3 linked regions of the Lepisosteus oculatus genome follow. The protein of the gene in region 2 interacts with the protein of the main gene of each other region in a pairwise test. Links are inferred from orthologs where the notes say so. Each region holds a gene or a part of one and is shown on either strand. Other genes may lie near its edges.

The links. The genes of interacting proteins can lie anywhere in the genome.
Region 1: the proteins of kifc3 (region 2) and CAP-Gly domain-containing linker protein 4 interact in binary tests that used the Homo sapiens proteins (3 or more experiments, as listed by UniProt). The two-hybrid records come from large-scale screens. The link is inferred for Lepisosteus oculatus from reciprocal best matches to the Homo sapiens genes KIFC3 and CLIP4.
Region 3: the proteins of kifc3 (region 2) and cerebellar degeneration-related protein 2 interact in binary tests that used the Homo sapiens proteins (3 or more experiments, as listed by UniProt). The two-hybrid records come from large-scale screens. The link is inferred for Lepisosteus oculatus from reciprocal best matches to the Homo sapiens genes KIFC3 and CDR2.

The regions. Positions count from the first base shown.
Region 1 is NC_090697.1:29,363,872-29,371,290, forward strand, and holds the start of CAP-Gly domain-containing linker protein 4, read right to left. Parts: upstream 3,005-7,419; 5' UTR 2,731-3,004; coding exon 2,682-2,730; intron 121-2,681; coding exon 1-120.
Region 2 is NC_090715.1:4,618,855-4,625,916, forward strand, and holds the start of kifc3 (kinesin-like protein KIFC3), read right to left. Parts: upstream 3,023-7,062; 5' UTR 1,051-3,022; coding exon 820-1,050; intron 1-819. UniProt on the Homo sapiens protein: Minus-end microtubule-dependent motor protein. Involved in apically targeted transport. Required for zonula adherens maintenance.
Region 3 is NC_090714.1:16,649,086-16,655,934, forward strand, and holds the start of cerebellar degeneration-related protein 2, read right to left. Parts: upstream 3,005-6,849; 5' UTR 2,754-3,004; coding exon 2,672-2,753; intron 1-2,671. Other genes in the region: mfsd13al (transmembrane protein 180-like), read left to right, coding at 4,139-4,375, 6,192-6,849.

The sequences.
Region 1 (7,419 bases), on a different chromosome or scaffold from region 2:
CCACCTGGTGAACAGTGGGCCTGTCTGTGCCAGGGGGCGAGCTGCTGAGTCTGTCCAGGGCAGAGTCTCCCTCCGACGACGGATCCCGGACATCTTCCCTTGTCATCTTCCTCACAGCACCTGAGAGGGACACGGGGACACTGAACCTCACTTGAGGACACTGTACCCACTGGGGGGGGACACTGGGACACGTTGGGGTATACACTATCCCACTGGGGACTCACTGAACCACACTGGGGGACACACAGACGCACTGGGACGCTCAGACAGGTTATATACCGTTACAGCTTTGGGTGACTTGAGAAGTCTCTCTCAGATTTTAGATAAGGTTTTAGACATTGGGAAGAGTAAACACATCTAACTCCAAAGGAGAGAGGATGTTTGCCGACGACTGGGGGTCCCTTGAGCAGAAACAATAGTAAAGGTGATCTTGGTATTCCTAGGCAAGTTGTGGATTAATGATCGCAAAGGAGCAGGGCAGAAAGACACAGTATCTGTTCACCTTAAGAGCACAGGAGGAGAGAGAAGAACAGGGGGAAGAGGAGAAACAAGGGGAGCAGAGAGAAGAGAGAGGAGCTGGAACTTGAGGCTTGCGCCAGGCGAGAGCCCCTACTTCATGATCATCCAAATCAAACCTGACTGGAGCGAAGTATTTGAACCCTGTTAGAACGTGCTATTCTGTATTTTTTAGGGAACTTGGGTTTCCTGGGTAAAAGATACCTCAGTTAGAAACATCTTTCCTGATAAGGGGGCATTTTATGGATATGGATATAGGCTCCTATTTATTTTGGGGCATCCACAGAGAGAGATAGGTTTAACCGCAGGTTGCTCTGTATTTAGTTAGAAGGCAGCTCATCTCTTGTGTGGCCTCGACAGGTGCTTAGTGCTTAGTAGCGGTCTGGGGTTTTCTGGGTGACCAGAATGTTTGGCCTCTGAAACGCCTTGTCTGTAAAGAATGTGTTTAAAGCAACATGTTCTGTTGTGTGTTGTGTCATTGTTTGAAAATATCTGTCCAGCCCCACCCGTAACAATAGAATGTAACTTGGCGTGTTGTATGTTTTGTGTCTCGTGTAGGTTATTGCAATAAATATTTGTTTAAACCAAGTGTCTCTGGATTATTACTCCTCGACAAAGCTGTGTCAGAGATGGAAGAATTCACGTGCCTCTGGTTGTACCGGCCGCTCGCATACAGAAATCACTTACAAGTCGGGGATTATAAATAATTATTTCACCGCTCGGTCAATTCCTGATTTTCACCAGTTTTGTAACAATATAAACATCGTAACGCGAGCGATGGTTTAAATCTTGGGGTGCAACGGGGCTCCTGACATCCATACTCCACACGCCAACAGCAGGGGGCGCACCTCCCATCTCAAAGCGAACACCAGCGTGGCTCGCAGTCACTGGACAACATCACCCCTAACTCAACACGGGACCCCTGACACAACACCCAGCCTTGAGCCCTGCGCTTCCCACAACTCCGAGGCAGTGCCAGCAGGCCAGGCCAGGCCAGGGCAGGGCAGCTCCCCTCTTGACATGAGAGCGACGTGATCATGACAGGGCTCCCGGGCAGCAGCAGCAGCAGTCCCGGCCCCCTCACTCAGGAGGGATGCGCCCTGTTCCTGCAGCACACGAAGCAGGACAAACTGGAGTCCTCGCAGAGCGACCGGCGGGACGCTCGGGGCCCCACGCCAGGAGGGGACGACCGGGGGGAACACAGTCCAGGTCATGCCAGTACAGCTCTCTGAGCCCGAGAGAAGGAATGAGAGAGCGAGGGAGAGGAAGTTTAACACAGGGCTCCGCTTCTCTATCGTTCCGGTTATGTCAATATTAGCTGACGGATCAGCAGACAGAGCTGTCTTGATCCCAGAGTCCCGCCGCTCCTCCTGTTCTTCCACAGTCTGCGAACAGCTGCGCGGTCACCTGGCCTGCGAGAGGGGAGGGTGCAGGAGAAGGACGAGAGAGAGGAGGAGGAGGGGGGGGGAGGACAGCCCCCATCGTAAAGCACTTCACTGTCAGAGACCAGCACAAAGATACACAAATCCTGCAGCACACACACTCCACAGACGCAGATATATTTTATTTTACTTCTATTTTTTGTCTTGTTCCATGTTAATTTTATTTTATTTGCTTTGGCAACACTGATTGTACCCATTGGTCATGCTAATAAAGCACCTTGAATTGAATTGAATATATTACAGTCACCGGCCCGCGACCGGCAGGGCAGGACGCTCAGGGCTTAAGACGGGCAGAGCGCCCCCAGAGTCGGGCCCCCCTCAGCGCAATAACCGCACAGTGCTTATTTACCTGGCGGGGCAAGGCCAGCCACCAGGCGAAACGGGGTTTTGTGAGCAGACCAATCTGGGCACCTCCCAGCACCCCGGATCCCCCAGAGCACTGTGGGGAACTTCGGGAGCCTCAGGAGGCCTTGGTCTCCGTCTGACACGAGCAGGGCTCGACACACACCTCTGCCAGGCTGCCCCGGGAGCAACACCACAGCGAGGCGCCGACAGCTATCCCACAATGACACGGGTAAAGCACCGCCCAGAGAAGAGAGCGTCCCGGCAGCAGAGAGCAGACAACAGCACCGGGCAGGACGAGCGGGTCAGAGAGAGGACAGGGGGAGGAGGCAGGGTGAGGGGCAACAGACACAGGCAGAGACAAGCGGGAGTCTCACTCACGGTCACCGTCGCCCGGGGAGAGTTCAGGAGTGGCCGCTGGGTCCCCCATGCCAAGTGACCAGAACAGGGAGAGGCGGAAAACGGGACAGCACCTCCTCTCTCTCCTGCTCCACTGTGATCCCCAGCCAGCGGGCTGGCTATTTACAGCTCAGGCAGCCTGCGCCGGCCGTCCCACTCCCTCGTCACATTCTCCTGTCAATCTACACGTCTGTGCACCACAGCACACGCACAGGCCTGGCCACAGACGCAGAGCACTGGCACTGAGCCCCTGAGGCGGGGGGCACGCTCGCTGCTCGTACAGGGGGGGCAGTGTCCGGACTGTAGTGTGCAAGACACTAGCTCCTGCCATCTCTAGCAAAAGGTCAGGCATGTGAGCCGAGCTAAAAATACACTCATTTTACAGTGCCCAGGACACAGGCACCACTCTCCACACACACTGGAGATCAATAGACAGGCGGCACAGTGCCCAGGACACAGGCACCACTCTCTACACACACTGGAGATCAATATACAGGCGGCACAGTGCCCAGGACACAGGCACCACTCTCTACACACACTGGAGATCAATATACAGGCGGCACAGTGCCCCGGACACAGGCACCACTCCTTACACACACAGGAGATCGATATACAGGAGGCACAGTGCCCAGGACACAGGCACCACTCCTTACACACACAGGAGATCGATATACAGGAGGCACAGTGCCCAGGACACAGGCACCACTCTCTACACACACAGGAGATCAATATACAGGCAGCACAGTGCCCAGGACACAGGCACCACTCCTTACACACACAGGAGATCGATATACAGGAGGCACAGTGCCCAGGACACAGGCACCACTCTCTACACACACACAGGAGATCAATATACAGGCGGCACAGTGCCCAGGACACAGGCACCACTCTCTACACACACTGGAGATCAATATACAGGCGGCACAGTGCCCAGGACACAGGCACCACTCCTTACACACACAGGAGATCAATAGACAGGCGGCACAGTGCCCAGGACACAGGCACCACTCTCTACACACACAGGAGATCAATAGACAGGCGGCACAGTGCCCAGGACACAGGCACCACTCTCTACACACACAGGAGATCAATAGACAGGCGGCACAGTGCCCAGGACACAGGCACCACTCTCTACACACACTGGAGATCAATAGACAGGCGGCACAGTGCCCAGGACACAGGCACCACTCTCTACACACACTGGAGATCAATATACAGGCGGCACAGTGCCCAGGACACAGGCACCACTCCTTACACACACAGGAGATCAATATACAGGCGGCACAGTGCCCAGGACACAGGCACCACTCCTTACACACACAGGAGATCAATATACAGGCGGCACAGTGCCCAGGACACAGGCACCACTCTCTACACACACTGGAGATCAATATACAGGAAGCACAGTGCCCAGGACACAGGCACCACTCCTTACACACACAGGAGATCAATATACAGGCGGCACAGTCCCCAGGACACAGGCACCACTCCTTACACACACAGGAGATCAATATACAGGCGGCACAGTCCCCAGGACACAGGCACCACTCCTTACACACACAGGAGATCAATATACAGGCAGCACAGTCCCCAGGACACAGGCACCACTCTCTACACACACTGGAGATCAATATACAGGCGGCACAGTGCCCAGGACACAGGCACCACTCTCTACACACACAGGAGATCAATAGACAGGCGGCACAGTGCCCAGGACACAGGCACCACTCTCTACACACACTGGAGATCAATAGACAGGCGGCACAGTGCCCAGGACACAGGCACCACTCTCTACACACACTGGAGATCAATATACAGGCGGCACAGTGCCCAGGACACAGGCACCACTCCTTACACACACAGGAGATCAATATACAGGCGGCACAGTGCCCAGGACACAGGCACCACTCCTTACACACACAGGAGATCAATATACAGGCGGCACAGTGCCCAGGACACAGGCACCACTCTCTACACACACTGGAGATCAATATACAGGAAGCACAGTGCCCAGGACACAGGCACCACTCCTTACACACACAGGAGATCAATATACAGGCGGCACAGTCCCCAGGACACAGGCACCACTCCTTACACACACAGGAGATCAATATACAGGCGGCACAGTCCCCAGGACACAGGCACCACTCCTTACACACACAGGAGATCAATATACAGGCAGCACAGTCCCCAGGACACAGGCACCACTCTCTACACACACTGGAGATCAATATACAGGCGGCACAGTGCCCAGGACACAGGCACCACTCTCTACACACACAGGAGATCAATATACAGGAGGCACAGTGCCCAGGACACAGGCACCACTCTCTACACACACAGGAGATCAATATACAGGAGGCACAGTGCCCAGGACACAGGCACCACTCTCTACACACACAGGAGATCAATATACAGGAGGCACAGTGCCCAGGACACAGGCTATAAGCAGGAACATCTCACCTGTGCTGTGACTGGTAGCTCAGGGCCGTACAGGACCTCTCCTTACAGGCCACAGTTTTCCATCATCTAAGCTCTTAACCACATAACATCATCGTTCTCCTTTACTACAGCACACGATCTTCAGAAAGCAAACAGGAAAATCCAAACCCACAATACACAACAACAAACAGATTCAAAACCAGTCAGACAGGATCGCTGTCACCAGCACAATGAACAATTACAATGAAAGCCCAGCCCTGGGGGCACTTCTGGAGGAACCCCAACACCTCCATACCCAGCCCGGACCGGACCGGACCCTCAACCCCTCCCCCTGCCTGACCCGAGACTGACAGAGACGAGCACATCCGCTCAAGTCCTCCTGTCCGCGACACAGGCCCCGTGCCAAACACATGGAGTAATTCAGGCAGAGCGCCAGAGTGAGCGACGTGCCCGGCTCCTGGTGAGAACGCCCCAGCCACACGCCTGTGCTCCACACCGGGGACAGCTTACTTTTCTTGTGAAGGTGCCTCAGCATCGCGTGACCCTGCGGCAGGAGAGCCCTTCACAGCCGCCTGATCTCCTCCACAGCCACACGCCAAGGATAAAACAGGACGCCCATCAGGACAGTCAGGTTTACTTTGTAACCAAATCGAGTGCTGTCTGCAACACTGGAACAGTCCAGCTGCGCAGAGCCTCGTGCAGGAGAATAGCAGCTCAGAGACACCCTGTCAGAGCAGTCCAGCTGCGCAGAGCCTCGTGCAGGAGAATAGCAGCTCAGAGACACTGTCAGAGCAGTCCAGCTGCGCAGAGCCTCGTGCAGGAGAACAGCAGCTCAGAGACACCCTGTCAGAGCAGTCCAGCTGCGCAGAGCCTCGTGCAGGAGAACGGCAGCTCAGAGAGAGACTGTCAGAGCAGGCCAGCTGCGCAGAGCCTCGTGCAGGAGAACAGCAGCTCAGAGACACACTGCCAGAGCAGTCCAGCTGCGCAGAGCCTCGTGCAGGAGAACAGCAGCTCAGAGACACACTGCCAGAGCAGTCCAGCTGCGCAGAGCCTCGTGCAGGAGAACAGCAGCTCAGAGAGACTGTCAGAGCAGTCCAGCTGCGCAGAGCCTCGTGCAGGAGAACAGCAGCTCAGCGACACACTGTCAGTGCAGTCCAGCTGCGCAGAACCTCGTGCAGGAGACCAGCAGCTCAGAGACACTGCCAGAGCAGTCGAGCTGCGCAGAGCCTCGTGCAGGAGAACAGCAGCTCAGAGACACACTGCCAGAGCAGTCCAGCTGCGCAGAGCCTCGTGCAGGAAAACAGCAGCTCAGAGAGACACTGCCAGAGCAGTCCAGCTGCGCAGAGCCTCGTGCAGGAGAACAGCAGCTCAGAGACACACTGTAAGAGCAGTCCAGCTGCGCAGAGCCTCGTGCAGGAGAACAGCAGCTCAGAGAGACTGTCAGAGCAGTCCAGCTGCGCAGAGCCTCGTGCAGGAAAACAGCAGCTCAGCGACACACTGTCAGTGCAGTCCAGCTGCGCAGAACCTCGTGCAGGAGACCAGCAGCTCAGAGACACTGCCAGAGCAGTCGAGCTGCGCAGAGCCTCGTGCAGGAGAACAGCAGCTCAGAGACACTGCCAGAGCAGTCGAGCTGCGCAGAGCCTCGTGCAGGAGAACAGCAGCTCAGAGACACTGCCTGCTCCCGAGAGAGAGACAGAGGGACACACATGCAAACAAGCAGCAACTCTGGGGACACAAAAATCCACACACACTTGGACACACCCAGGGACACAAATGCACTAGTACACACCCAGAACACACACGAATGTGACCGTCGGCACACATGGGCAGCCAAATAAAGAAACCCACACACACAGATCGACAAATAAACACAAGGACACAGACTCACAGACACAGAGCGACACACTAACTCAGGCATACACGCAGACACACAGGGAGAGTATCTCACAACAGCTGTGCCCTGCGAGAGATCGGGCCGGTCCAGTCACAAACCAATCACCCCCTCTGCACAAGACTGGCATTAAGATTATTTTCAATTATGCATTTTTATGATGCATTTCAACCTTTGTTAAATATATTTTGTTCTTCTTACGTGTACATGTATTTCCCGACAATTTCTCCTTAAAACTCATCAATTTAGTTAAACTATTTTTCTCCTTGATAGACAGGTAGGTTACGTCATTAGCTCAGCAGTACTGCACTCGCGCCTGTGTAATTAAAAAGCAATTTCGAGAGAGGAGTGCTTGAGACACTTTTAATAATCATTATATGCAGCTAT
Region 2 (7,062 bases):
AACAACCTCATTTTGAGTATTTGAGAATTTTGCCTATTGCGAGACTGCCCCTTAGCCCACAGTCAACCCCCAACTTTCCCTTGGTGAATTTACAAGCTGTATTTGCATATCAGCATCTGAAAAGGATTCGAGCTCAATTTAGCTGGCAAAGGCTGAAACAAACCCTAAACAAATCCTCAAAGGCAAAAAAAGCTCATGCACTTGCAGATGATTGCAAACAGTAGAGCTGCAGACTCCCACTCTGACAGCACCAGCACTAACGTTTAAGAATTATGCACGGAGATTCTTGCTTGCTCCTGGACACTACACCCAGATATGTCAGGGTGTGAAGTTACTGTCTGCAATTCAGATTTTACACTCATTAAGTTAATTTTCCTTCAAGGGTAGAATAAACAGGCCTCCTGTACTTTTTAAAAAACAAGGGTTTTGTTTTTTAGCCCATTCTACAGTACCTGCCCAGAAACAAAACAACAACAACATTTAATTAAAAAATGACTTCGCTTGCAAATAATCCCTTAAATGAATCCTGCATAAAACAGATGGAGCACTGTGCACCTTTCATTTCTTTCTCCATAAATAGGAATTTCCGTGTCGAGTAGTTTATTTACTTAGACGCTGAAACAAATGAGTATACAAAAACAATCTACAAGTAATTTGTGACGCTATAAAACATGTTTGACCAATAAAGGGAAATGCACAAAAACAGAGAGATGGAAGAGGTAACCAATACCCCCCAAAAGACAGAGAAAGGAAAATGAATATTGTACAGTCTGCACAGTAGCCAGGTTATTCTGTGCTGTAAGCAAGATGGATTCTCACCTGTGCCCAGGTACTGTAGCAGCAGCCAGGCATGTTGCTCAAAGTGGTTCTGTTACTCTTGGTGCACAGGCTCTGGGCTTCATATCCTGGGCTGTGGTTGTCCGTGCAGCAGTCTCTGGGCGAGTTTCTCTCCCTGTCGGAATGCTTCACTTTCTCCACTTCTGAGCCTCTTTTTCGCCCCTTGAACAGGCTGTGCAAAGACAGCACCACCAGAGTGCACAGGACATACATTGCACCCCTAAAAAGAGACAGGGCAGATTGCCTGCTCCGATATCACAGTTACTGGATACTACTGGGGAGGGAAGCAGGCAGAAAGCTCTTAGGTCACCAAATCCGAAAGGCAAGGCTGTTGTCAGGACGGTGTCCGCAGTGAAAGGGTGCAGGTCCCAACGCAGCAGCCAAGAAAACCCAGAACTGGTCTGGAGCTCAGTCCAGAGTTTTGCTCCCTATACCCAGTATCTTACATGAGAGGAGTTCACAGCTTCAGAAATTCTTCCAGGCTGATCAATCCAAATGCTTTTTTCTTTTTCAAAGGCTCACAATAATTTAAGAGTGTCTTCAAGCAAACTGTTTCTTCCAGATTTTGAGATCAACAGTCATCGTCTCCGATATATCTGTGATCTTCGGTCTCTGAACTATGGAAAATTATACCCTCCTCCTGATTTGCATGTTTTACTCAAAGGCTAATCAGTAAGCTCTCCAACCCCAGCAGTATAAACAAATTAGCAGGAAGTAATCTAATGAAAGTGTTTTCAACAAATGCACCCATATCACACCCATGGGCGATACTGTGTTTGCCAAGATACAATTCTTCATTTGGGAATTTGCTTACAGTGAAGTCCAGAGATTGAATCTGAAGTCTTCCGAGCGTGGTCCCAATAAAGAACATGCAGGTACCAATGACTTTCCTCGCAAAAATCTGTCCAGTCAACCAGTTCGGAGGTGTTTAGCCCAGTGAACGATGTTCACGTTTCAAGAAGTCATGGAAGCAGAAGACAGATTTTCTTAAGCACCACCATGTTGATTTTTACCATCACAGACTTCTTGGTCTCATTTCTTCACCATGGATCCACCAAATACAATAAGGATCTGGCTGCACAGCCAGCGCAAGTTACCCAACAAGTCCCTGTGGATTCACTCACAGCTCTGAGATTCAGCACCAGCAGGAAACCAAGAAGGTCCAGAAGGGAGTTTGGACGGCTCCCCGTGTTCCTGTTACCCAAGTGTGTTGTAGGGCCACTGATACAGGATGGCGACAGCTTGCATTCCCAAGAAGGAGAAGTATTTTTATGGTGAAAGAATTGGGACCCTTCCTAGGTGTAAAGCATTAAGCAAATTGCAAGAAATGATATATTCAGCAAAACACTCCAGATTCAAACAGGAGCTCCAATCCTGTCTCCTAATGGCCCTGTGTTTCCACTGATCCAGTGTTCAACAGCTGCCAGCATCGATCCAGCCCTGGAGAAAAGCCATGAGTCTGTCCAGAGTCCCGACTCCCTGGGCGCCACTCCTAAGCCCATATCGCTTCAGCTTGTTAAGGTCAGGGCACTCGTAACTCCAGGCTTTCGATTCAACACGTAAACACAATCATAAAGAAGGTATTCCACTGATAAGATGTGTGCACGGCAACACACACCCAGAAGAAAAAAATGTTTCTCAGATTGAACCTGCTGCTGGTATCACCATAATCACTGATGTCTGAGGCAGAAATAACACACCTGAAGTCGTGTTATTTCCAGCTGCGATGGCTCATGAAAAAAGGCAAGATAAACGTCAAGAAAAAATGTGCTCGAAAAAATGTGCTCTTTGAAAACTTGAAAAAAAATATTCCCCACGCTTTTGTACCTCCCTGTTGTTTTTTCTCGGTATGTTATTCAGCTGATAAGTTTTTTTGTTTTGCACCCTGTTGCCTTTTCTAAACCGGCCCGGGAAATGTTTCTCCGACCGGTTTGTCCACTTGTCCTGCCTCACAAAATACTTGAAAATGTTGTGACGACAGAGAGCCGTTTCTTTGCTCACTTGCTCATCAGAAAGCCTCAGTTCATTCTCTATCTGCTGCCCGAGGGTGTCACCAAGGCAAATATCATCTCACTCTGCATTCGAATCCCCAACAGTCCTTCCCTCTAAGTCCTTTGTCCATCTGCTGCAGGGATAAGCGCAGGCATGGGGCAGTGGACACTGATGTCACATTTATTTGCATTTGCAAAAAAATCTGCTGTGGCTTCCCTTGTCTCAAATTCAGACATTGAAGACAGGGATCAGGCTTCTGATTGGTTGCCGCCTGGAGAATGACCTCATTCATTGTGTGAGCAGACATTGTGTGTGTGACCCTGCATGGGAAACTTACACTCTTGTGCTTTGAGAACTGTAGTGGCTGTTAATTTAGCACAAAAATATTTTGTTACAGTTTAGACATTTATGGGTCTTTCCAGGATTTGCATAAAAACGGTTATATCTCCCGTTAAACTGTAAAATGGAATTACAGCAACTGAAAATGTCTAACTAAAAGTTAGTCAACAACAGAACATTTGACTTTTTCTTTAATTTTGTAACATGTCTAGGGTACTAATGGTTATGTCTCAGCCACAGAAATGGATAGAGGGTGCAAATGGCCTTACATTTTCAGACCAGAACGCTATTGATAACTATCTTTGCTCATGACCCAGCTAACTTTTTAACATACTATCCTGCAGTTTAGAGTACAGCAGGGTAGATTTGAGGACCAAGGAAATGTAAAATGTATATTAATATAAAAAGGTCTGAGAAGATAAACAAAGGTTTGTGAACCAAACAAGATTTCCAAGTGGATTTTCAAGTCTGAACCATCAGCTGCCCATGTTCAAATCAATCAAAATCCATGCAGTAAAATCGATTTTCCACTACCCACATAAATCCTCCGTAACGAGTTCAGACACATCCTGGACGGGATGTACTAAGAAGATGAAAGCACTGTAGCTAAGCAGCTTACCTGCTACACAATGGACTCTGTAACAATCTTACAAGCTGCAAGAGGATTTTTGTAGCTTTCTCTAAAAGCTGCCCCCTGCTGTAACGCCTGGTAACTGCACTTTGAAAGCACACAAGAGGCTGAACTAAATGCCACAGATACAAATGTGACTCAATAAAGTAGACTCTCTTACATTCAGGCAGCAGAAGTGCATGACCTTCCCAGTGTAACCTTCCCAGCGGGTAAAGGTTCCAATTCTCTGTCGATGTGCTAAACTACCTCTATTCAACTGCAGAAAAGCTTGCTACGAGAAAATAAGCAAAGGTTTGTGAATCTAACAAGATTTCCATGTGGAAGCGTGTCTCCCTGGCAACCTGAGCCACTTCTTTATATTTACATACCAGCAAGAGGAGCAGATTTTGAAATCACTGCTTTCTTAATCTCTTCCCAAACCCTCCCCTTGCCTCACACACACCCTTCTCTTCCACAGAAGAGCTATTCTGGGCACATTTTGGCATTTAATTGAAGGAAGAAAAAGAAGAAAAATAAACAAATCACAGGCCGTAATTACATCTCCACTCGACGGCGGATTTAAAGTGCTACAGCACAGACCACATCACAGGGCGGACTGGAAGCCCAAATCACAGGGGCTTGTGAACGCTGGAGACCAGGGCTCATCGCTGGGCGCACAGGCACACAGGCGCTGACTCGCATGTGGCACAGGCCCAGGAGAGAAGACCACGGTTTGTCTTAAAGGGGTGCGGGAGACTCAACCGCTTGCTGCCACTGCAGACCTGACTGCACTTCTCCAGGGCTCCCAACTTCATGAGGGAGGATTCTGTAAGAGCAGGTCTGATCTTGTAAGATACGGCCACACACTAATTGAGAGCAGAAGACAGTGTAAACTACTGCTTTAAATCCTCAAGCATGCCTCTGCTCTTCCCTTCAGGGGAGCTTTATAATTAACAGCTTTCTATTATAGAAACGGAGAACTAGGGAAAATGATGCTTATGTCACACACACTCACACAGACAATATTACGTAATTGCAGACATAAAGCCGTAGCTTAGCTAATTACAACACTTCACAGGAAACCCACAGCTATGACTTAATGTACCAAATAGGCAATTCGTGTTGTTTTCATTACACTTATTTTTTTATAGTTTGACACAGCAAAGCAGAAATGGAAAACAGGCTCAAATGAACTACAAAATGCCACTAACGGCAGTAACTGTTATATTTCAAAGCCTCTTTTGTTTTATAATGTACTGTATGCCGCCCAATTTAAGTATGATCCGCTCGCTTTGTGAATTGCAGCTGTACAACAGGCTGTTGTGCATACAAGAGCAGCAGATCATTCACAAAAATGGATTTTACTTTGTTTCAAGGTTTGTGTTTTTATTAATATTATATCGTAGCAACAAATGCAGTTGGAGCAAGCCGTCTGAGGAATGTAATGTTGTATTGTATTTACAGGGTTGCTAGGAAGTCAGAATAGTAGCAACATCGCCACCTGCTGGTTATCTCCGAGTGCGACGCGACCTCAATAACGTTCTATTTTTAGTCAACGGACCTCACCACCGGCCTCAATTATCCAAGACTTTTCAAAGAGCGACGCGGTTTATAGCAATTTAGAAGGTCATACTGAACTATTGGTGATTTGGACTCTGAGGGGTTTTCTGTAGCCATAACATCCTGCAAAAATAACCTTGCCTGACGCCACCATGAAATATCCTTGATTAATGGCTGGAGAAAATGATGCATAAAAACCAACTATGCAGACTGGCTTAACCTTCCCTGCATCTGCAAACATAATGAGCACAGCACAGCACAGACTGCTGCTTACAAAAACAACCGTATCAGTCAGACTACTATAATGAAGGTAATCGCAAAAACACATTCGTTGAGTACAAATAATGGACTGTTATTAACTCTAGTGTAAAGGGCACTTCAGGGAAATGAGCAACGAACTGCACAGCCATAGAGCTGATACTTAAACTTTGTAAATGCAAACAAGCTGAATGCCAGATGCTTCAAAAACCATCCAAAGGAAGCATCATAAAACTGAAATTGTGTCTTGACGTTAAGATGTGCCTTATTTCCCGTTCTCCGCAGCACGTTGCGGCAAATCGCAGGAAAAGGCCGTTTGTGTGGCTCTTCTTTTCTTAAATACTTCCTCCGGCTAGAGAGTGGGAGGAACACGACCCTCGCACTGCAGGACTGCCGAATGAGCAGCGGAGATCACGTGGAGAGCTCGAGTCCGAACGCCTCGCAGTCACATGGTTCAGCAAGTCAATAGCCGGGATCAAACAGGTCGCTTTGCTTTCTTCCTCACCCTCCCATTCACAAGCACCGACTCTGACAGCATGGGGCGGAGCGCGGGCGGGAACGAGCTCTTCCACCGCTTTAAGAAAATAAGGAATGACTTTGCTGTCCTTTGAGTAACAGATCGAGAAAGAACCACAAAGGACACTTTCCTTGCATTTCTGTGCTGAACGGGAGGCACTTCATTCACTAATGATTCATAAGAAATCATGAAAAAATGGCTGTTTTTGATGTCACTCCTTTTGAGTTTAACCAGTATTTCCATACATTCTTGGCCATTTGGGGAAATAATTAGGTCTCAAAATAAATTAACTTATTTTTACACACATCATGGTTTAGACCCTTATTTACATCTCACGAAGCCTCTGTGCTGTGCCCATTGATGGAGACAGCAGACATTTGAATACAGGGTGTCAGGTCAATCTTCCACATGAATTCTCTATATTGCCTGAATAGTGCATGTATTGTTCAGGTCATTTTTTTGCAGACGAGAATGAGGACACTCAACTTTTTTTTTAAGTTTTGACATTTGCTTATTAGCCCAGACTACAATGCTGAAAACATATTTTGAAAACTATCACCTCCAAACTGCCAGAACATGACTACGTCACACTGTGCACCTGCCCTCACTCCACACTTAGATTGTCACCTCGATTCCTGCCAGTTAAGCTGATCTGACACGCCTGGTCCTCGTTAAATATCTCCCAGTGCTAAGCTTTGTTGAGAGCCATGAGACACTGAAGGCTACAACATCACTTGCACTAATGGCTTCCACAGCGAGCGACTTCATTAACTCTACAGATTTCAAGTGCCGCGACGCAGTTGATGAGATTGTGTTTCTCAAGTCATGGGGCAGTCCACAGACTCCTTTGATCAACTTCTGCTGTGCTTTCAACCCCTTTCTCATCATTTCTTATGATGAAGCTCATGATTTCCCACCAGCTTGTCCACTCAATGATTCAAAAAGTGAC
Region 3 (6,849 bases), on a different chromosome or scaffold from region 2:
GGGTTCTGGGGGCTCGTATCACAGATGGCAGATTCCTTCCTTGTGAACATGTCCTTTCCTGCCTGCGTTTCCTTACGCCTTGAAAACCCTTCTCACTGCTCATCTGCTTTGGGATTCATGACCTGCAGCAGTATAAACCTGCACTTTCTCTGTGCAAAAGGTTATTAGATACATGAAGCAAATCCTGCAATTCTGATTTCTGCAGACTATCTGTGCCGGCGGCACACAGCGCCTGTTACATTGCAAATGGAGAAAAATCTATATTTAAAATAAGTGTCATAGCTAGGGAACCTGTCCACACTTCGTTTGCATTGTCCATTTAAGTGACCTCAAGTTCTTTTTCCACTGGGTGTTGTATTCATAAGGTGTGGAGAAATATACCTCCAGAGTGTGAAAGCAGGGTACTCTCCGTCTTACAACTAAGTAGTAGCTGACGTCTATAATGCCTATTTATGGTCTCTCTCTTTAATTCTAGGTTGTGTCTTACTTTTTTATTTTTGGTAGTTAAATCATCTTGGGGTGTTAGTCCAGTAGGGTCGCTACAGAGCCAGCCAGACCTGACAATTAAGAAATGCGGTTTTGCAGTTACACAGTGTTGAGAGGGAAACTGGCCTGTGTCTAGTTTGCCCATCTTCCTAAGTAGAGGTGCAATATCTTGCATTGCTCAGGACCTGCAATCCGTTTTCTGCCAGCTCATCGTTTCACAAAGAGCCTCGTTTAAGTGGCGCTGGCTCACACACAGGGGTCTGCCTGAGGCTCGAAAACTCAACCGTCTGATCGCCTTTGCCTTGAGCATCCACCATTGACACTCAGGAGAAACGCACTCGGAAATTCACCCTCTACAATTTACTTCTCGAGTCAGAATCCCAGAGGTGCAAACAATATCTGTGAGGCATTTTAGAGACAAAGCCACATTTCTACTTATTGAATGTGGAAGCATAAAGTGAGCAACAATGGTTAGCCCAGGTCTTCTGAAGTCTGACGGAACTAGTATCAGGCAGACAAAAGTGAATGTATTGAGATGAAGTGGCAAACAGAATTGTTGCTGAGGTTTTTAGTGGTCTGGAAGTGACTTGCAGTTCGATACTGTTTTACACCCTAAACTGGAAAAGGTGAGAGAGCAGCTTCTCCTTGCGTTAAAAAAACCCAACACTGCAAATGATTACAGCCTACAGCACAAAAACACCGATTTCATTACCTCCCAGCAAAATAACTTGGAAACACAGTGAGACGTTTGAAGCCGAACATGTCAAGAACCCAGAACTGTGCTGCCCAAGTAACTGTAACGTAAAGAGAAGGTCACGAATCTATAATATTTCCTTGCACTTGTATAGTGCTCTTCAAAGGATCCCCGAGCGCTTTGTATACAGGAGGGGACCCACTTCGCTGCTCGTGAGGTGCAGCACACAGCACCCTCACCGCACAGCAGGTCAGGGGGAGCACAGAGAAATATATCCTCAATTATTTTTGCATGTCGTGAGGTTATAAATTAGTTCATTAAATGGGTGCACATTGGTCGTAAACATTCTTATCTCGGGGGATGCTAAAAGCTGCATCTGCGTCAGAAAGCTGCCTTGTTTCCAATGGGTTAATTTCTTGATCCAGGAAATGCGAGCGCAAATTCACAGGGAAACCGCAGCTATCTCAACTGGGAGCCGAGCGACACATCGATGCAACACTTGTGTTTGCGGTGAATTTCTGTTCATCGAAAAGCCTTAAACTCGGTTATATTTTGAAGAGCTCTGACCATTTCTCGCGGCTAGTCAACGACATCCTTCCTTACAAAAACAACGTGCAAGGAAGAAGTCACTGCTCTCGGCAGCTCAGTGCATGCTCCTATTAATGCCTTCCGAGCATGTCATTGCTTTTTCGAGCACTTGGGCGGTCCAGTCTAGCTTGGCTTTGCTGCTGTTGAAATCGCGATGACAAAGGAGTCAGATAAGGCTGCTTCCTCTCTGAGCTGCAGTAGCTGCGGGGAAGAAGTGACCAGGCGAACAGCTCCCACTTCTCACGGGAGACGAGCGGCTTGCGAATGTGGCCGAATTTATCGACAAAAAGGGCTTTGTGCGAGATCCGCCGACGCGACTCAGCGTTTCCCAGATTATGCTGCAATTCACATTCAATTCTAAATCACACCCCCGGCAACGAACATTTTCACGCCGGGTCGGAAAAAAATAGCAGAACATTACTGCTAAAACACAACACTGTCGTGGAGTTTTTAAACCCCCGACCGTCCGCAGCACTGCGGTTTAACCGCGTTAGGTTAAAGCAAGCATGACATGTATATATATACTTGCTTTTAACATCTTCTTTTACATCGATCTGTAACTAAAAATCAGTGTTCATTTCTTACAAGGGAAATGCATCCCCGGGAACGCAAAACAAAAACGTGAGGACAGTTTTACGAAACAATGTAGACGCTGCATGAGATTTTTTGGGGATGGGGACTCGCTTTCAAATGGGCGGCTCGGTTGTAAACCAACGTTTTGACAGGCGACACTAATCATACAACAGAAACGCGCACGTCGCCCTTAGAGGCTTGTTTCTGGGACGCATCTCCCCCGCTGCCCGCTGAGCGCACAGCCCCGGGCGATGGGTGAGCCCCGGCGCCGCTACCTGGCTCGGCTCTCTTCAGCACCACTGAAGAGGAGTTTAAATGCCCCAGCCCTACCGTGCTCCAGGTCCCGGTGGTCATACCACGGCTCCTCCTCCTTGATCTCGAACTCTTCCTCCACCATCATATCGGTCAGCATGTTCGCGGCCGGGGTGGGGAGGACGACGACTCTGGGGACTCTTGTCCTCCGCTGGGCAGTTCTGTCCCGTCCTTTTTTCCTCTGTCTCGGAAGAGCGGGCAGCTCCTGCTCCTGGGTGCAACACACACACACACACCAGCACGCTCGCCGGCGACTGAGCTCGCGACGCTCTGGAGCCTCCAGCGGCTCGCACGGGCTGCAGCAACGTGGCACCCAACCCCTGCGCCGCGGCGACGTCAGGAGCGGGCGTGTCAATGGGAGCCGACGTCACTTGATCGCTTGGAGGGGGCGCATTGAAACGCCGGGGAGGCGGGTCCGGAACGCCGGGCAGCGTCCAATCACCGCAGGCAGGGGGAGGGTCTCAGGTGGTGGGGGGTGCCCCGCCCACTTCCGCGATACGCGGGCTCCGCGCGCGCACACAGCTGAGCTGGCTGCGAGGATATCGAGAAATCGTAGGTTCAGTTTTAACTCATTCATTTTTAATTAACCTTTGATCAAAGAGGAGAAAATAGGAGTGTGCGCAAGAGAGCCACTGCAGGAGTCGCCATTGCTAGAACCTTAGACTTTACGACCCATGAAACTGCATGTTTTTTTTCTGAAAACAATAGCAGTGGTTTGAAAGTCTTTTTGTGAAGAACTTCCGTTGTAGTTGTTTTGTGTCTTTTCACAACTAATGAGTTATAACCGTCGACGCAAAGGAAGCTCGGTTTCAGAAATTGTGGTTTTTTTCTTAAATATTTGTCATAAAAACGCAGAAATGTATCAAAGGAATCGATTGACAAGAGGGGCGGGGTTTCAAAGTGCCAGTTACTGTTTACTGCTAGTGTTTGTTGGTTTGTAAAATGCTTTTAAACCTCGTTTATGTTAGAGAAATATATATTTGTTATATATGTTAGAGAAAAATACACTGACAAACCACAGCCCAGGGAAAATCTGTTTATATGTAGCCGAGGGAGTACAGTGACAATAATTTACTGTGGTGTTTACCGTGATTCGCACCTCTCAATGAGGTGAATGCAATGGGGTTTTTATATTGTGCATGATAGTATATTCTTAAGAGTAGGAGTGCCGGATCTTTCAGTTTTATACAGCTCATTTCACAGCTTCTGGGGCACAGCATGTTGTGTTGTCAGCCTGGCTTTAATGGCAAAACTGACAATTCCTGCAATGCCCACAAACCAGCCTGACTTGTTTCGGGAATCCTGTTCCTTGAACTTAATGACTGGTTGTGCTTAACTAAAACCCTATCACTCTTTCCCTGTTTCGTTAGCTGTATTATGAGATCGCACTTAAATACCCCCGTATTAATTCATTGTTTGTCTGTTATTAGCCGCGCTAGCCCTCGATAGCTCACGGTCCGGCGTGCGGGAAGGCGTCACGCGTGGATGAGCACCCGCGCCAGGGCGCGCGCCGCTCCGGGGAACCCCGCTCAGGGCTCTCGCGGGGGCGGAAGGGCGGCCGGTATGCGGCTCCTGGCGAGACTCGGGGTCCACCCGGGCGCGCTGGCCTACTCCATGACCACGCTGGGCGCCGGCATGATGAACAGCATCTTCAGCTTCTACTACGTCAAGCTGTTCCTGGACAAGTTCCAGATCTCGGAGTCGGCGTTTCACCAGGCGCAGGCGAGTGCTGACCCACGGGGCTTTTCCACGCAAGTCGCACCCCCAGAGCAGGGTAGCGTGCTGTAGCCCTTTAGCCCTCGCTGACCTCGAGTTGTCTTCTTGCATGAAAAAATCAGTACTCACATATGCTGTACTGTAGGCTAGCATTGTCACCTGGCTGGTGGGGAGATGAACTCTGAGTCTGCAGTGTGAGGTCACTGCCCCTGCTCTTCAAAGCCCCGATTCAGAGTTTATAGATGTTTTCTGCTGGCGGGATCTTCAAGTCCCTGCAGGACATAAGGGGTGGAAGGTAAATGCCCTGCCAGTCCGAGCGACGAGGCACCTGCTTGAAGGAGATGAAACATCTCTGTGACCATCTCCGTTTACTACAACTAAAGGGTTTAGGAAAAAACTACTACAACTAAACAGGATTTGGAAAAATGGAACTATATATGTTTATAGTAGTATAATATGGAAGTTTTGGTTTTAAAAAAAAACACTCTGTAGTTGAACAGTCTGAACCTATAGGTTAATTATACCATGGGAATTTGTGCCTGGGGGTTCTGAACAAGGAAAGAGAGAACACAGAGATTGAAAGTTATGAATTCATGCAACTCCTTATGTCTTCCTGGGCTGTTTCCTCCTTTAGCATTCCTTCTGATTGTTTGTCTGTTTGTCTGTGTCTCTCTGAACATCCTGCTTGTGGCCTTCGGGAGCAGCTGATCAGATCCCTGTGGTGTCAGGTTTGTGTATTCCCTAGACACAGAGGTCTGTCCGTACTCTCCCCACTGAGGAAGTGCGAGATGCTACAGATACCCTTATTCATGTAACTCTCCTCCTCCTGAGACTCGTCCCCATGAGTCTTACTGGCATGGTGGGTGTTTTGTGCCTCACGACAGCAGAGAATCGGCCTCCCATGGATTAGAAACATGACATCAAAGGTGATTAGGTTAGTTCAGTGTTGTGCTATGTAGGTCCTTAGCTGTTGGCGTCCTTAAAATAGCTCCTGCGCTTTTTCAGTGAGTGCTGAGAGGATTTCATTGTGTGCTGTATCCAGGGCAGCAGAGAAGGAACACAAGGCACCTTTAGGTTAATTAACAAGCCAGGGCAGAACTTAAACTTGTTCCTCTGCCTCAGGAAACAGAGTGCGCTTTTGAGAAAATAAAGAGCACGGCGTGCCAGTCTGCCCAGTCTCCTGTTCCAGAACAGTCCGCTCTTTTTTCTCAGTGCGCGTCTCCAAACGCGCATGATGAAGACCCACCCCATTCGAGTAAGAGCTGCAGGATTTAGCCGCCTGTGTACCACCTTTCCCCAGCGTAACATTTCTTAATAAAAATCACATCACAGCTCATACTGTCTAATTCCGGTCTGCTGTTCGTCCCATCAGCCCATCTACCCTCTTTGGGTGACAGGGCCTTCTCCTGCTGCATCCCAAAGCTCTGGAAATCTGTCCCAAAGGACATCCGAGAGTCACCTTCCCTGAACACTCAGATCAAGACTCAAAGCCTTCTTCAGAAGGGCTTTTATTGAACTGGCTCTCTGTCTGCCCCTTTGCTTCCCTGCTGTATTCCAAACCCTTAGTGCAGTTGTGTAATTCTGCACATTGAGAAGCCACTTTTAAAGGTGCTATACAGTATAAAGTTTATTGTTATTATTATCACTAGATGAAGGCTCATAGTTATTGTGGATTCTGCTGTGTTTTCTGAAGAGGGCGAGGGAACTGAGAGGGGATGGTCTGGCCCATCTCGTTGGTCTGAGTGTGAGTAATGTAGTGACTGACTCTCCTCCTGCGCGCAGCTTGAAGTGTCCCTTCCTCGTCCCGTGCGCTCTGCTGCAGGTGATCTACATGGTCTGGAACGCCGTGAACGACCCCCTGTTCGGTTACGTCCAGGACAACTCCGGGATGCCCTGCTGCTCCCGCCGCCGGCTGGCCGTCCTGTATGGGGCGCCCTTCTACGCCCTGGCCTTCCTGCTGGCCTGGTTCCCGTGGCGCCCCTACGCGGCGGGGGACTGGCTGAGCGGTGTGCACCTGATCGTGGCGCTGTGTGCCTTTGACGGCATGCTGACCTTCGTGCTCCTGGCCCAGTGCGCCCTCTTTGCCGAAATATCTGTCCAGCACGAGAGCAGGCTGAAGCTCATCAAGTACAACCAGGTGGCGTCCCTGCTGGGCTCCTCCAGCGTGCTGTTCTGTGGGCTGATGTCTGGGAACATGGATAACTTCCCTGCGTTCCAGGCCTTCACCGTCGCAGCCGCGGCGCTGGCGTGCGGCTGCATGCTCTACACGGGCCTCCACAGCGAGAGCCGCTACGCGGGGCGGGGGGGCCAAGCGGAGGAGCAGCCTCCGGGGGGCGCCGCCCTGTCCCTGGCCTCGGTCTGCTCCCTGACCTGGCAGATCCTGAACCAGAGGGACTTCCAGCTCTTCGTGACCATGAACTTCTTCCAGGTCTTCATGGTGGCGTTCTGCAACAACTTCGCCATGATCTTTGCAGAGCACC